Sus scrofa: one gene and its partners. The protein of the gene in region 3 interacts with the protein of the main gene of each other region in a pairwise test. Links are inferred from orthologs where the notes say so. Each region holds a gene or a part of one and is shown on either strand. Other genes may lie near its edges.

What was found.
Region 1: the proteins of HOXA1 (region 3) and NOV interact in binary tests that used the Homo sapiens proteins (3 or more experiments, as listed by UniProt). The link is inferred for Sus scrofa from reciprocal best matches to the Homo sapiens genes HOXA1 and CCN3.
Region 2: the proteins of HOXA1 (region 3) and CHIC2 interact in binary tests that used the Homo sapiens proteins (3 or more experiments, as listed by UniProt). The two-hybrid records come from large-scale screens. The link is inferred for Sus scrofa from reciprocal best matches to the Homo sapiens genes HOXA1 and CHIC2.
Region 4: the proteins of HOXA1 (region 3) and FBLN1 interact in binary tests that used the Homo sapiens proteins (3 or more experiments, as listed by UniProt). The link is inferred for Sus scrofa from reciprocal best matches to the Homo sapiens genes HOXA1 and FBLN1.

What each region holds. Positions count from the first base shown.
Region 1 is NC_010446.5:19,511,657-19,515,664, forward strand, and holds the start of NOV (protein NOV homolog), read right to left. Parts: upstream 2,826-4,008; 5' UTR 2,671-2,825; coding exon 2,587-2,670; intron 2,467-2,586; coding exon 2,241-2,466; intron 1,164-2,240; coding exon 909-1,163; intron 1-908. UniProt on the Homo sapiens protein: Immediate-early protein playing a role in various cellular processes including proliferation, adhesion, migration, differentiation and survival. Acts by binding to integrins or membrane receptors such as NOTCH1.
Region 2 is NC_010450.4:40,843,900-40,847,977, forward strand, and holds the start of CHIC2 (cysteine-rich hydrophobic domain-containing protein 2), read right to left. Parts: upstream 2,817-4,078; 5' UTR 2,398-2,816; coding exon 2,279-2,397; intron 1-2,278.
Region 3 is NC_010460.4:45,476,166-45,480,376, reverse strand, and holds HOXA1 (homeobox protein Hox-A1), read right to left. Parts: upstream 2,817-4,211; 5' UTR 2,718-2,816; coding exon 2,063-2,717; intron 1,582-2,062; coding exon 1,226-1,581; 3' UTR 71-1,225; downstream 1-70. UniProt on the Homo sapiens protein: Sequence-specific transcription factor. Regulates multiple developmental processes including brainstem, inner and outer ear, abducens nerve and cardiovascular development and morphogenesis as well as cognition and behavior.
Region 4 is NC_010447.5:3,924,323-3,928,527, reverse strand, and holds the start of FBLN1 (fibulin-1), read left to right. Parts: upstream 1-1,349; 5' UTR 1,350-1,470; coding exon 1,471-1,549; intron 1,550-4,205. UniProt on the Homo sapiens protein: Incorporated into fibronectin-containing matrix fibers. May play a role in cell adhesion and migration along protein fibers within the extracellular matrix (ECM).

The DNA of each region.
Region 1 (4,008 bases), on a different chromosome or scaffold from region 3:
AAAGGTGATATTTCTCTGACACCTGTCCAGGGATGAGCGGCATTCTTTAGGGAGGCTGGTCTTGAGAGTGCATAGGTAGTGTACAAAATGCAGAAAAGAAAGAGACATTGCCAGGCCCTTTGCAAATGGCCTAAATGGCCCAATGAATTGACACTTGCCACATATATATGAGCTAAATCAACTATATGTTCTGCATGAAGTTGCCAAAGCACATCTTTGCAATCAGCGTTAGTAAGGATCAAGTGGTATATCTGGAATCTAATATTGGGCACAAATAACCTTTCCACAGAAAAGAAACTCATGGACTTGGAGAACAGACTTGTAGTTGCCAAGGGGGAGAGAGTGGGATGGACTGGGAGTCTGGGGTTAATAAATGCAAACTATTGCATTTGGAGTGGATAAGCAATGAGATCCTGCTGTACAGCACAGGGAACTATATCTAGTCATTTGTGATGGAACATGATGGAGGATAATGTGAGAAAAAGAATATATGTACATTATATATATATAATATATATATATATATATACATGACTGTGTCACTTTGCTGTACAGTAGAAAATTGACAGAACACTGTAAAGCAACTATAATGGAAAAAATAAAAATCATTAAAAAATAGGGACCAAGAGGGATTGATTCAAATATAAATAGTAGTCATGCAATAAGACAGAATCAGTCCTGTGGCTCAAAAGAACCACCTTCTTCTTCAGGAGAGACTGGGTGTGTACTCCCATAACTTGGCTGGGATTCCACCGTGGGTTTGATCTCAGTGGGCAAGCTGGACTCAACAACTGAACGGCCAGAAACTGAAGCCAGTTTCTCACTGCACACCCCAAAGAGCATGCCTGCTTCCTGCCTGTCTTGATTCCTGTGCTGTGAGCATTTTTTAGGTCTTCTGAATTTCTCACCTGGAAGGGTTTGGAGGTCCCCTAAGGTCCCCGTCTCATTTGAGTCACAGATCCACTTTTCACAGCACTCCCCGGGCACTTTGACTTTTCTCGGAGCTGGGCAGTCGGGCTGGGGCAGTAGCAGGTCCTCCTCACAGCGGGGCACACAGCCAACCTGTCCATCTTGACAGGCGCACTGGTATTTGCAGCTGGGCTGGAAGGTCTCTCCACTTTGGTAGATGACTCCGTCAAACACACAGTTGTCTCCTTCTATTGCTAGAATATTGGGGAAGCGAGGGAGAGAGAAAATCTAGAACAGTGCACTGGAGAAGCTATATACGACCCACAGCACGTGTTCCAAACCTCAGATCATTCTTTTCCTTGTTGGGGCCATCTGGTTGCTGATCCATCACCCCAAGAGAGATGTCCTCATGGAGGCCTCCCAGAGGCAAAAGAAACGCTCAAACCACCCAGTCCTGCCATTTAGTTTATGGATGAAGAAAGAGGGGCCCAATGGTGAAGTGAAACTCCCCAGGCCCCGCAGCTGCTCTTCCCAGTAATAGTTTTTTTTTTTTTTTTTTGAAGAACCTCCTTAGATTCTTCTGCTCCAGAAGCTCAGAATTAAAAAAGAAAAATGGGGGGCTCCCAACAGGTTAACTGGTCACACTGGTAAGGTGGTTAGGATTCCTTGGCATTCCAGTACAATAAATCACTAATTTAGAGAAGGAACTGAAAGGTTCTTCCAAGCCCTCTTATCCAGGGAGGCAGGGATGACCTCCAACTAAATGGTGCACCGTGTGAAAAATTGATCCCCGATTGATTAAGTTTCACCAGCCTGGATGGGCTTGTTGCCTGCATTTTTATTTTGCTCGCAACCCAGGCAGGGCTTACACAGTTGTTCCAGGAGAGGAGGGACAGCTTGGCTGAAACGGGGCAATTACAGGTGTGAAAACAAACCTGGCCGGCTCCCGTTGGGGGGGCTGTAAGCATATGAGTAAGCCCATGCTTCCATCACCCCCAAGCGTCCCCTGGAAACGTCCAAAGGAAATGACTTCACTGGTCCCTCACTGGGCTCTGCTCCCTGTCTCTCTAGATTCTTCTCTGGGGAGGCAAGTAATGAACGCTTCCCCCTTCCGCCGGCAGGTTTTGTTCCCAGCTTCTGGCGTTCTCCAAAGACCCCAAGCGCCCCCAGACCAAGGCTGGCGCACACAGCTCCGTGAACATCACCCACTGCATCCCGTAATTAGTATTTGCGCATCACCGGCTGGGGAGCGGGAGGAAGGGGAGAGGGAAGAGCGGGCAGCTTCGCTGGGCGAGGGACAGGAGGTCAGGCAGCGGAGCGGGCAAGGTTACCCATGCAGATGCCGGTCTGGGCGCTGGGGTCGGCTCGGCGGTCGCAGAAGAGACCGCGGCTCTCCTCGCAAGGCAGCATCACCGAGCAGCTCTCACCGCGCTGGCGGGCGCACACCAGGCAGCAGGAGCAGTCGTCCAGGACCGCTCTCACCCCGGGGGCGCAGGTCGGCGGCTTCTTGGGGCAGGGGGCCGGACACGAGGGAGGGCAGCGCTGAGTCGCAGCGACCTGGAGGTAGGCGAGACCAGAAGGAGAAACCTCGCAGAGCCACCTGGGGACCAAAGGCAGAGCCGCCTGGGGACTGAGCGGGGGCCGCCCAGAAAGACACCTTACGGGTGCGCCACTCACCTGTCCCAGGAGATGGAGGAGCAGGAAAGCCAGGCAGAGGCACCGCTTGGGCAGACCGAGGCGCAGGCTCTGCGCTCTCTGCATGTTCAGGCTTTGTCCTGCCGCTTTCACAAGACTTTCCAGGTCTGAGATTGGCTCTGCTCGTCCCGCTCCAGGTCGGGCTCGGCTCTCCCCAGCGCCACCGCGCAGGTTTTATAGCGCGCTCCTGGGACGCGCACAAGCCGGTTGGCTGCAGCTCAGGCAGGAGGCGGGGGGGATCGGCGGGGTGGGAATGGAACGAACCCGGGGTTGCCATGGCAATTGGCCTTGGGTGCCGCTCTCCTTAGGGCGCGGCCCCGGGGCCTGCGTGTGCCTGTGTGTGGCGACTGGCTTTTCCCAGAGCGCCGGGAGGGGCTGGGTGGAGGCCCGAGGCCAGGACCCAGGGCTCGGCTAGCGCGTGGGAAGGAAACGCCCGTTTCCTCCTGGAAGCTGCACCGCCTTCCCAGAGGACTAAGACACCGCCACTCCCCACCACGCTTCTCTGCCCTGGCCGTTCCAAGCCGGCTTGCAAACGTGGGGCTCTCCTAACGGGGTGTCTGATGTTTGGGACCATCTGTAGGGGGTTGGCCAGAGGCCCAGTGGTTAGTCATAAAGGAAGCACGTGCAAGTTTGTCACCGTTTAGGGCACTCTTTGAAAGTGTTGTGCGAGGGGAGGGGAAGAGAGAGAGAAGAGGAGAAACATAGAAGGGAGAAGGGGGTCGAGAACAGAAAATATAAAAGTCTTCATGTTAGGATGGGGGATGCTATTGGCCACAAGGCAAAATTCTTTTGACTCTAACCAGTCTAAGTTCTGCTGGTTCTTAAACCCCCAATTCTGCAGGTTTGGTGGACATACAAGTAAAACATCGTGAAATGAAAATATAAGAGCTTGAGGAGAATAAAAACTTTCTTCCTGGTAGAGAAAAACCTTGAAACACCTATGGTAGCATGCCTCCTGCGAAAGAGCACACGTCAGAATAAAGAGCCTGTGGGAGTTTACAAGGCAGGTTCAGCTCAGCCACTGTCAAAACCTCAGTGAAAGAAGGAAGGAGTGGGGAGGGTACTGGCTTAGCTGACACTCCCGCAAATCGCAAATCGAATCTCTCTTCCACCTGGCACCTGCTTTCCAAAAATGATGACTGTGACATGTCATCTCTCAAGAGGAGAGCAGTTTGCTCCAAAGGTGACACTGCTTAATGGTTAGAGAAGAAAAAAAAAAAAATGTCTCTCCTGTACGTGAACTTTGCTTCTGCCTCTGAGATAACTATGTCCAGCTCCTTTGTGGGTAGCTGTGTTGGTTGGAAAGACACTTTTCAGAAAAAAATTATACAGGCTTGTAACTCTAGGCTCCACAAAGAAACAAATTCCCTCTATGTCATCCCTCTCCAGCACGAAGGAAATCGA
Region 2 (4,078 bases), on a different chromosome or scaffold from region 3:
TTTTTTTGCCACACCCGAGGCATATGGAAGCTCCTGGACTCACAGATTGAACCCAAGCCACAGCAATGACAACACCAAACCCTTAAACGCCAGGCCACCAGGGAACATCAATCCTTAATAATCTTAAAAGCTAGAAACTGTAACTATCCCCATCTTAAATGAAGAGGCGTAGATAATTTACCCAAGAAGTGGCAAAGGGTCCATCTTGAACCCAGAGCCTAGCGCCAAGGTAACAGGAAAGAAAGAGAAGTTGAGGAGGGAGCTCATAGAAACATTAAGTCCCCACGTAGAAAGGCATACCGTTCAGCGTTGGCATATAGTTCCTCTTATGCTCTGGAATAGTGGGTTTCAATCCTGGATACATATTTGAATCACCTGTGGAACTTTTTAAAAAAACGAACCAAGCCTGGAACTTTCGCTCAGATACTTGGCTTTCAAGCAGCCTGACCCGTGGCAAAGGAAGGGTGTGTGTTTAAATCTCCCCAGGTGATTCTAATGGACAAATGAGATTGAAAACCACTTAATTAGTGGTTATTATTCTCTCCCACTCTGTTAACCCCTCTCAGCAGCCAACCAAAATCAAATCATCCATTGGTTCTGAGCACCTCACCTATTATATTTTCCATTATGCCCAACAAGTACTTAGCTTTTTTCCTTCAACAGCGGAAACATTATATCTATAGCTGCACCTTTTTAAATAAAATTTTTCTGGTTCTTCTTTGACATGAGGAATGTAAGAGGAGGAGTGGGCACATATGATAAAATTTGAAAAGCCCTTCTTTAAGCACCCCTACAACTCCTTAGGTTTAAAACAATGTAAAAAGGTCCTAAAAAAATAAAAATTAAATGGTGGGCTATGATATCTGTTAAAGAAAGATTTAATATCCAAATATGTGGTTCTATTTCTTAATGTGGCTGCTGATGACAGTTAAAAAACTAAGTAACAGTTATTGTGGCCATAAATTCCATTGTCCTTTCATGGCTCTGTGACAGTGATTGTGCAGTGTTTTTACCCTGTTAAGTCATCTGAATATAAACTAACAGGTGCTAAAGAAATCAAAGCATTACATAAGCACACCCAAACAACAGCATGGTTGGTCACATCATGTATTGAGAAATGCCAGGATTTTGCTGACAGTCTTCAATGAGAAGTCTTACTGTTTCACCAAAAGTTATTCACTGCACACCCCACTCACCCTAAACCAAAAATATAATGAAAAGTGTTCCAGGCAGTCTTAGACGTGCTGGCCCTTTAGTTTTACTAAAAAGGTGGAGTGTGGAGATATCTGACAAGTGTGAAGTTTGATCTAGGATTTGAACAAGAGACCTAAAATGAAAAAGTATAAATACTTCAAGTTGTACAAAACTCTGGACTTCTCAGAGAAACATTACAAAACTTCCTGCTTCCGGACAGCTCATTATTTGGTTCAAGTCTTCACATTCCTTTATTAGTCATGACCTTTCAGAAAGCTCTCCTTCCTTATTGTTTGAACAATATCAGCCTTTTATAGGTTGCCAATGGGACTTTACGGGAACCCTTATCAAAAGAAGAAGCCACCCAGGAGCTCTTGCCCAAAAGAAGGACTTAGATAACAGAAACCCTCACTGGGCATTGTGTGCCCATCACGTAGTTTTTTAAAAAATTATCTGTAAACCTAATCATTCTGCATCTTAAAAATATATGCTCATCTATACATTTTTTTATCATATACAATTACAGGAACTTGCATTCGATCCGCAGAAACTGACTCTGCAAGAGACTGGGAAGACCTGTGGGTGTGTGTGAAATACAAACATAGGGACAACGAACTACTCATGACCCACACTGTCACTCGGGTCTCACCTGGCCCAGATCCGGCCTCTGAGCCATATGTCACTATGCTCAACCGCACAGACGAGGAGACAGAGAGCCACAGGGTAACAGGATGAGAAAACAAGGGGGAGGCGCCTCAGAAATACGTGGATTTCCACCCCGAGGCCGAAAGGGTGGCCGGAAGGGCAGACCCTAAGGAATAACCTTCCCTCCTGGGATCCGACACAGCGCCCAGGCCCGTAGGGCCTGCTAAGAAGGCAGCGGGGGGAGGCAGGGCAGTGTCTGGCTCCACTCTGGAGACCGCAACAAATGAAAATAAAGCAAGTTCTCACTTCCTGCTCGCCTACTCCTCCCGCAGGCCTCCGACACCAGACAGACCCCAGGGAGAAAGAGCCCCCACGGAGCACGGGGGCCGCCCCAGCCCTGCACCTCCCGCCCTCGCCCTCGCCCTCCTCCGGGCCTTACACGGTGACGTGACCGGAGCCGCGGACCACCACCGGGTCCGGCGAGTACTTGAGCAGCTGCTCCTCCAGGGCCCGCTCCTCGTCTTCTTCCTCCTCGTAGATCTCGTCGAAATCCGCCATCCTGAGCCTCCGCGGCCCCCCGCCCGAAGGGGCCTGACTCCAGGGGCTGCGGCCGGGATACGGGCTGGCGAGGCAGCCGAGGCTGAGCGGAGTCGCTGCCGCGGGCTCCGAGGCCGCGGAGTTCGCTCTGGATTGTCTTGGCTTCGGCTACAGAGGAGATGGGGTCCCGGCCGTCGCCGCCGCCGCCGCCATTACCGTCAGCAACAACAACAACACAATGTCAACATCCGCCCAAGGGCCGACACCTCCACCAGTACCGCCGCCGCCGCCGCCGCCGCCGCCGCCGCCGCCGCAGCAGCAACTCAGGCAACCACAGCAACAGCCAGAGCCACCCGCAGCGGGAGCACCCGGCTACGACATCGCGAGACTTCCCGGGAGTGCGGGCGGGCGGGCGGACGCGTGGGCGCGCGAGCGCGCAGGCAGGCGGCGCGGGAGCGCGCACGTGAGGCCTCGCGCGCTCCCAAAGGTCGCCTTCCCCCACTTCCACCCAACGAGGGTGTCTTGGGCTCGCGCTCCCCCCGCCCCCCGACGCGGCCCCGCCCTCCAGAAGAGGGGTCGCCGACCGGCTAGAGGACTGTGCCTAAGGGCTGGTGCCATTGACCGTGACTCAGAAAGAGAGCTGAGTGTCCAGAGGGGCCCTTAGTTCCCTAAAGTACTCTCTAACCAGAACAACTAAGAATAAAAACCCTGGCCGGAATAGAGAATTTATTGTGCATGCGGTTGCCAGTTTATCTAAAAATCAAATCTCACTTTTCGTCAGTATTTTTTAGTCTGTGATGAGTACCAGAGTCTTTACTTTTCCAATTTGAGGAACCCAACACACAGACTGCAAATATTTTTGTCCACTATAATACAAGATTTTTCAAAACTGTCCAAATTCAAACACCTTGTCCCATCACCACCTTAAAAATTGTCCAATATGTGATGCCAGTGATGCTAATGTTTTGTTTTGTTTTTCCTTACAAGAAAGCTCATCGAAGTCATGCCATGAAACAAAATTGATAATGTCTCTGGATTCTGGATTAGAAGATGCATTTTCCTGCCCAAGCTTCTTCATCAACCATAACCTCTTATCCCCTAAGACCTTAGGGCCTACCTTTCCCTTCCTTAAGCTCCTCCCAGGAAACGAAAGGAAAAAGGGAAGCAGAGGAAGAGTTTAATGGATTCTGCTTATTGGTCTAGGCCACCAACAAAGGCCTAAGTAAGGGTCACGCTGGGTACTTGGCTTCATAATCAATAAGCCGCCCAGGCATACAAATAGATCAGGGGCAGGAGTGGCTCCTGAGAGCGTTCAGGATAAGGAGCATACACTGTGAGAGCTAGTAAGGGTGGTCATACCTGACTCAGTGCTGGCCATAATGTTCACCAAATGTAGTGTTCACTTCCCACCAGTTTAGATGGGTCATTGCAGATTGCAGTAGCTGAGAAAGTACAAAGTGGGGCAATTAGGACAGGGGGAAACAACAAAAACCTCCTACTGGTAATGGTTCAAGAAAATGAGCACAGTTAGTCAAGAAAAGAGGAAGGAGGAGTTCCCATCCTAGCTCAGTGGTTGAACAAACCTGACTATTATCCATGAGGACACGGGTTCAATCCCTGGCCTGGCTCAGCGGGTTGAGGATCTGGCATTGCCTTAAGCTGTCGTGTAGTTTGCAGATGCATCTGGGATCCCCCCTTGCTG
Region 3 (4,211 bases):
TCCCCACAGGAAAGGAGCCAACTTTGTAGGGACCAACAAATTGTAGCCAAGCCAGACACAGAGATGCTTAAGCATATCTGAAACTTGAATATATTTATTACAGACATCTTAAGACCCGTAAACTCTGCTCTGGATCACATCCTTCTGGGATCTCGGAGCTGTTCATGATTGTACAGGAAATGGGAACTATCACAAAGGATAACTGATAAAACTCAGTGTGGTACTTCGGGAACATCAAGACATTGTGCGACATGCAAAAGACTATTCACGAATCACACAAAATATACATTCATTGTGCCATCCATCACATTAACAACTGAGCTAAAAATACATCATATCCAGCTACAATAACTGTGGAGGGAAGAAGCTGGTGTGAAATAATACGTTTGGGTCCTGAATACTCCAGCGCAAATTTGAAAGAGTGTGGCCAGAGAAAGGAGAAAGGCGTGGGGATGGGGAGAGACTCAGCCCAGGGAGCCAGGTTTCTGACCCTTTATGCTGCAGGCTTTCTTAACTTGCTGAAAGAACAAACGGAGGCGACCCTCTGAGGCCTCTGATTGATTTTACTGGGAGCTTTTAGTCTTTAACCTATAATCACATACAAAGTTGTACCAGCTTAGAGAGTTTGCCCACCCTATTTTCATCCCTTAATCTAAACATTTCTAGAAAATCTGTATAAAGATAAATCTTTCAGGACAAAGTATTTACAACCAGCAGACTCACACACATGAAACTGAGTTAAATTAAGGGGTGAATTAATTGTGTAAACACGCTCATAGTGCATCTCTTCCTCATGAGCTCCTGGACTCTCTTCTCTCTCTATCCTACTTTAAGGGCAGAGTAGGGGAGAACTGTAAATACACGGTTAGATATAAGATGAGAGGCCTCCCTCTGACATGTTTCTGCTGGCAAAGGAGACTATTTTCCAAAGGGCATCTGAAAGGAACTGTAGGGTCTGTCAAAGAAATCTCCTAAAACTAGGGGCGTTAGGGGCCTTGAGAAAATTGATGTTGGCACTCAATTTGCATTGCGGAGCTAGCACTCCCCTGCCCCCACACCAGTCTCTAATCCAGAATTCACTGGAAACACAGTATCCTGGCCAGGAGTTCCCCAGATAGGATCAGAGAGGAAGAGAGAGATTGTAAATGGACAGGAAGATAAGCTAAGAATGTGCTTTGGGAAAGAAGTCCCAGCCGGAAGAGTCGAGTCTGGGGCTGGGGCGGCCTCAGTGGGAGGTAGGTAGAGTGTCTGAGGTAGCAGACCCCGGGGAAGGAACGCAGGGCGAGGAGCTGGACTTCTCGGAGGATTCCTCGGCCTTCTCCTCACTGCCCGGTGGGGTGGCTGGAGAGATGGGCAAGAGGCCCTCCTTCTCTCGTTTCTTCTGCTTCATTCGGCGGTTCTGGAACCAGATCTTCACCTGGGTCTCATTGAGCTGCAAGGACGCGGCGATCTCCACCCTGCGGGCCCGCGTCAGGTACTTATTGAAGTGAAACTCCTTCTCCAGCTCCGTGAGCTGCTTGGTGGTGAAGTTGGTCCGCACCGCGTTGGGCTGACCCACGTAGCCGTACTCGCCAACTTTCCCTGAGGGCAAGGGGAAGCGATGGGGAAAAAAGGGGAAAAAATTTATATTCGATATGAGAGTCCCTGTAGGCTTCAGAGCAAGATTCAGGCAAAGGGGGAATCAAGAATTTCTCAACACAAGCCGGGCTTGGGAGGGTGAGTGATGAGGTGTAAAGCGTTCATCTGAAGTCACCCATTAGCATGGTCAGACCAGTGATTAATGGAGCCTGGAGATATTAACACACACATACACACCTACCCACTTTCCCACGTCCTACTTCCAAAACCTCTAAAACTCAGCCCCCTTGGAAACACAACAATCCCAGATGTTCCTTTGTGCCAACCACACCTGGGCAGCCTCCCAACACCCTACAACACCGGTGGGAAGCAAGAATTTTAAAGAAAAAAACAAAACAAAACCTTGATTAATTTTCCTTGGAAACTAAGCATACCGGCTCCTTCCTGAATAATCAAGGATCATTCATGGAAGGGCAAGACTGACCTGTTTTGGGAGGGTTCCTTTTGACTTTCATCCAGTCAAATGTCTGCGCTGGAGAAGACGTCTCTGATGCAGGGGAGCGGCAGGCTTCTTGGTGGCTGGCGTGGAGAGGGGACAAGGAGTTATTATACGTGGCCAGGGCCAGGCTCTGATGCTCTTGTCCATATGAGTGGTGAATATATTGAGGCGAGCCCACCGCGCCCCCGGCATAACCCTGGTGGTGGTGGTGATGCTGGACCATGGGAGATGAGAGATTTCCAGAGTAAACAGCGGGAGCGCACGTGGGGTACCCACCACTTACTTCTGCTTCCTGATTTAACGCGTAGGAGCTGTAAGGCGCGCCAAAGTTCTGCGCGCCGTAGCTTGGACCACAACTCGAGTGGGAGTAGGACACCCCCAGGTTCCCAGGAGTCTGGTAGGTGGCCGGCTGGGGGTGGTGATGGTGGTGGTGGTGGTGGTGGTGGTGGGGCGGGCTGATCTGCACCCCCCTGCCCACTAGGAAGCGGTCGTCGCCGCCACAGCTATTGGCACTGACCGCGCACGACTGGAAAGTTGTAATTCCATGGTCGGAGGGGTAGGCTCGCGCTGAGCAGGTCCCCGAGTCGCCACCGCTGAGGATGGGGTATTCCAGGAAGGAGCTCATTCTTGCATTGTCCATCTGTCACTGAGTGACCGGGTCCTGCGAAGCCCTGAGTGACCGTGCCAACTTTCTCACTTCCTCCATGGGGCCGGAGAAGAAAAATGATATGAATGTACAGTGCGCAAGAGGGGGGGCGGGAGGGCGGAGGGCGCTAGGGGAGGGGCACGTGACTCTCTCAGCCAATGGCGGAGCCTCCTGCGAAAGTTTGCTGGCTCCTGCGGTGATGGATCACCCTTTCAGTGGCATTTAAATCCCCGGCGCTCCTCAGTCTAGGTGACGCGCAGTCGCCCCCCCAGGCAGCCCGGGCGGCAGCAGCAGCTGCGGCGGCTGCAGGGGCAGATTCCCAGCGTTGGGGCGAAGGGGAGCAGGGGCTGCCTTCTGCGAGTGGCCGACTCCGATCGCCCCCCTCCGGGAGGTGGGGGCTGAGAGCCATCCTCGGTCACCGCCCCCCTCCCCACCGTGCACAGAAAGAGGAACTGGCAAGAGGTGAGACGCCAAGAGGGCTCCGCGCTCTCTTGGGTCGGGAGTCAGTGGGAGGGAGCTCGCTGGGCCGCCACTTGCACACTGGCTGAGCCCGGAACGCGAGGAACTGGAAGGGTCGCTCCCCGGGCGCTTTCACTGCCGTCCCTTCTGTGATGCCTTGGGGGCAGTGAGGAGAGCCGAGAACGGTGGCGGGGGACGAGGCTGGGCCACCACCAGGTCTCCGGAAGGAGAGGGAAGTGCGCAGAGGGCTGGCTGGGGGAACCCGAGTGGGCGTGGAGGGGACAAGCGCAAGAAAGGAAACTTCCCTCTCCCTGTAGGGTCTTGAAGCCCCCGTTCCTCCCCCACCCCCACGAGCTGTTAGCGTGGCAACGGGGAGCTGCTGTAATTCGATGCTCGGGAACGGGTGAACCTTGGGAGCTAAGCTTGCCGGAAAAGGCCGGGGGTGGCCCGGCTCTTCGCCCTCCCTCTCTCCTCGCTCTCCGCCCCTTTCTCCTCCCCACTCAGCTCTGTTCTGGGAGCCCTGCGGGATCCGGAGCAACTCTGCTGCCGGATTTTGAGGGGTAGGAGGCGGGGGAGAGAGATGACGCTAGCCGACGTGGCCAGCGTGGGGGCCGGGCCGTGCGCTGCAGGCCATCTGCCGGCTCCCTAGGACCCAGGAGCCTGTGTACACCGACCTGGGCCTCAAAGGGCGAGACCACAGTGAAGTACGATGAACTCCCCCTCCACCTCCCCTCCCACCCCGCCACCCCCAGAAACGTTTCTCGTTTCCTGGAGGCGAATGTTAGGCGTGCTAGAGCTTCCTTCATCCACCCCCCCCCCATTCTACTGCACAGCTGAAGTGGGGGTGGGGGCTGGCAGGTGGGAGGGGCAGTGGACAGATGGCTGATGGTGGACAGGACATTTTCTTCTTCCCCAACAACACCTCCTCCCTTTTGTAAACTGGCTGTGTGGTTCCCTGTGTGAACCTTCAAGTCCTTCCCTAGAGAGACACGTGCAAATCTGAGCGTCATCCCAGGACAGGAGTCCTGT
Region 4 (4,205 bases), on a different chromosome or scaffold from region 3:
AGTTAAAACACGGAACACTTCAGGACTTTGCATGTCATCCTTGCTCCGGGGCCACACTGATCTTCTTTATATCATTCCAATTTGAGTATATGTGCTCTGGAAGCGAGCACCGTTCCTGTTCTTTATAACAAGAGAATCTGGCCATTAGAGCTCTTTGGCGTCCAGCTCCATGGGGGCTGAGAACCATCTGAGAACCATGGTTTCCGAGAACCGTCCCTGTTTCTGCCCTGGTTGTAGGGCTCTCACTTTTCAGGGCTGTGTCCTGCTCCACGCTGACTGGCCAGTGTTCTCACCCTGCTGCTGGTGAGGCTGGGCCCTTCCCAGTTGGAAGCTCTTATGAACTGTGCTGCAGTGAACCCTCTGCTGCATGCCCTTCTGTCTCTGGAGCACAGACACGTGTATGCCTTTCTGCTGGGTGTAAACTGGGGTAAGACTGCTGGGTCAGGCGACATCTACACTTGGCTAATGTCATGTGGGTCTCATTCCATGGCTCCTCATCTTCCCCTGCCCACATTTTGTTTTTGTTATTCTTTTAAACAGTCTACAGACTAAATCGTCCTCAGTAACCATTGACTGGTGGCAGTCATGAATCGCTACACAAAGAGGTGGCTCTTGCAGGTCCAGCTCCAAGGCTGTTTCCTCGTCAGCCAAAGGAATCGCTTTTCCCTCGAGCTTGGGAGTTGGGGGTTCATCACACTCACCGGTGTTGGGATGTTGGTTGATGGCGTCTGTCTGCGGCAGGACTAACTGGGGGTCCCCTGAGGGCAGGGCCGGTACGCAGCCCAGGACACACCGGGGGCAGCCACCGACTCGCAGAACCCTGGGAGCCGGCGCGCAGGGAGATCGAGAGCGGGAAACGAGCAGGCAGTGCGTTCGGGGTGGGGGTGGGGGTTCTTTGGGGACCGGAGCCTCCCCTTACTCCCCCCCCCAAAAAACGCTCTTCCTACCCACGGGCCCCCCGCCGCCCCGGGCCCCCTCCCCCGCCCTGCCCGCAGAGTTGGGCGGAGCTAACCTTTGCTACCCAGCCCGCCCACGGGGGGGGGGAGGGGATCGAGTTTCACCCGAGCCCTGGGCGGGGGATGAGGGGGGTTGAGGGGGGATGAGGGGGGATGAGGGGGGATGAGGGGGGTGGGGGTGCTACGCTCCGAAAGCGCCCCCCTTCGCCACTCCCCACAGGGAGCAGTTCGAGGGTCCCTGCTCTCTCCCCGGCCCTGGGCCCGCGCGCTGCTGGGGCGGGGCGGGGGGACGCCAGGAGGGAGGGGGCCCCGAGGTCCCGGGCGGGGAGCGGTCGAGGGGGAGGGGGAGCGGGCGCCCCCTGGCCCCGCCTCCGCCGCGCCCTCCTCCGGGGCGGGATAATTGAACCGCGCGGCCGGGGCCCTGCGTTGGCTGCGGAGGCTCGGCCGGAGCTCGGAGCCCGCGCTGCCCGCCCGCCGCCCCCGCGCCTTTGTCCGCTCCGCCGCCCGCCGCCCCATGGAGCGCGCCGCCCCGTCGCGCCGGGTCCCGCTGCCGCTGCTGCTGCTTGGCGGCCTCTCGCTGCTGGCGGCCCCAGGTAGGGGCGCTGGGGGAGGGGGGCGTCGGGAGGGAAGCGGGGGGAGGCGCCCCGAGTCGACGGCTGCGGCTCGAGGGTCTCTCCCACCCCCGGACCGCCCGGCCCCGCGTCCCGTGGGAGTTTTGGAGCTGCGGGCGCCCCCTCGGCGGCCCGGGGGCGGGGGGATGTTGGAGTTGCGCCTCGCCGGGCCCAGGCGACGTTCCCCCCTCGACGCGTCTCCTGGCTTCCATCCTGATCGCCTCACTGACTTGGGGACGTGTTTTAAAGACGGAGCCCTCCAAACACATCCTTCTGCCCACCCGCCCACTGGGGCCAAGGCGGGCGGGGGGCGAGGAAGCGCTGCCTGGTGGCTGCCAAGCACCCTGGTGCCCCGTTCCTTGCACCTGGAGTGCCCTGGCACACACTTGTTCCCCACCCTGCTGGGGGCTCCATACCCAGCTTGCTAATGAGAAAACCGGGGCGGCGGCGGGGGGCGGGGGACGGGGAACAAGAGACAAAACCAGTCATGGACGGAGTAGGGGCTGGACGTGAACTCAGAAAGGAGGGGAGGAGCCTGGAAGTGTTCAGGGTGATGATGGCTGCCAGGGGGGAGACCCCCGCCTACCCTTTTGGGGCACAGGGGGCCCCAAAACAGAGGTTCTGCCAGGATCCATGCTCAGCTGTGGCTGGGAACAGGCCACTTCCAAACCCACCCACCTGGTGACAGTGGGTTGCCAGGGCATCTCCACTAGCGGACCCAGGCCCAGAGCCCCCAGCCTGGAGACCGACGGCGCTGGGCTCACAAGCACCCGCCCATCCTTCTTTCTTCCTTAATCCTCCAGGCCGAGCTCCTGGAGCTCCTGGACCGCAAGGCCCTGCAGATCACAGCCATGACCTCTGACTTTTCTGCGACCCTTGGCTCAACAGTCGTTAGCCAGGCCAGCCTTTCTGGGGCCAGGCCCAGATAAGAGCCCCGAACATCACCCTCGGAATTCCAGATTCTTTATCTCTGGCTTAGTTGAGTTTCTTTTCAACTCTCAGGTGACCTCCCTCCTCCTCTGTCAAAGGTCACTTGTCCCAGGTAATGCTCGCCAGGGATTCAGGGTTCCCCGCCAGGGATTCAGGTTCCCTGAGAGCCAGGGATTCAGGGCTCCCTGAGAGGCAGGCGGGGGCAGGGAGAGCTCTGCAGAGGTTTCTTGGCTCCCCTGCTCCCTGCAGCCAACCCTCACTGAGCTCTGGCTGTTCTAGGCATCGATGCCATCCTGGGCAGGTCCTAGGGGACATCTCGTGGGGGCTGGGGAGGGGGGGGTCGGGCAGGCTGCTCTTCTTGGCCGCAAGAACCATCCCTGGCCCTGGGGCTTATAGGAGGTTTCTTGGAGAAAGTGGTGTTTGAGCAGGAGCTGGTCAGGCAGGCGGGGAAGGAAGCAAATTCAGGTGACCGCCGGCTGCAGTGAAAGTCTAGAGGGGCTTCAGACTGGGGGTCACGCAAACCCCTATTGGAAACGGGAGGGCCCCCAAACTCCCTGTAATTTACACACAAGGGAACCGCGGCCCAGAGAGAAGACATAGTGGAACTTTCCCGAGCCCAGGTCCCCAGATCCTCCATGGCTGTTCTTTTCTGCCCACTGTGGGATAAGAGTGGCCTGCAGCCTGGCCGTGTGCAGCTTCGAAGGAGACTCGCTTGGCTGGAGTGGCTCCCCGGCCTGCCTGATGGTTTTGCAACCAGCTTCTTCAAAGGGAAGGGCCTAACCTGAAGTGTGTGAAAGAAACTTCTTAATTGCACACCGATGAGACCCCATGTGGCCCTTTGGGGGCTGGGGGAGGTCCCTCTTCTGAATTTCAATAAGTTTAGTGTGGTTTGGGGTGAGGGAGTCAGAAGTCTGCCTGCTTCCGTCCTGTGCCTGCGAGCTCAGAGCTGCAAGGTGCCCTGAAGCCTGCTAAGGTCCAGGGTGACACTGTCCCCACCCTCTGTCCCAGAGCCCTGGGGTCCGAGAGGAAACATGCAGTTTAAAAGTGATCTTGGAAAAGGCCTTGACGGCGAGCCTGTGAGCTGATCTGCTCAACTCGTTTGGTGACCCGGCCACAGACACAGAAGGGCCCTGGACTTTGGTGCCGAGGGACAGAGGTGGAACCACGGGTCTGTCTGTCCTGCCTCCGTCCGTCCATCCTGCTGGGCTTTCCTGAGCGCCGGGCTGGGAGGGGGAAAGACGGGTTGTGTTTTTCCTCCAAGACTTTCTTGGCCTGTGGCTCCAGCCGGGCAGCCTTTCCGACTGATTACAGAGAGGAGAACAAAGGGGCGAGGACTTGGCTTGAAACACGCGGCTGCGCCCCTGCGGCTCCTGGAAGTTTCCCAGTCGGGGGGCGACGGGGCGGATGGGCTGAGGTGGGGGTAGGGGGTGGCTGGAGCGCCCTGGCCTCTCCTGTGGGGCCACCACTCCTGGTCACACACCCCCTCCTGGCACTGCCTGAGGCCACCCCAACTCAGGCCACATTTGCTGCCCTGATGATGTGTGTGTTTTGGGGGGGAGCGTGGTTCCCTCACCTTGGGGACCCAGCAGGCTGCCAGGGCCGTTGGTGGGATGGCTAAGAACCTTGTCATCCCAGGGGTGGTCTGGCGGGTTTCTCATCTGTAAAGTGGAGGTCACAGGGGACCCTGGGGACTGAGGGAGGGACCATA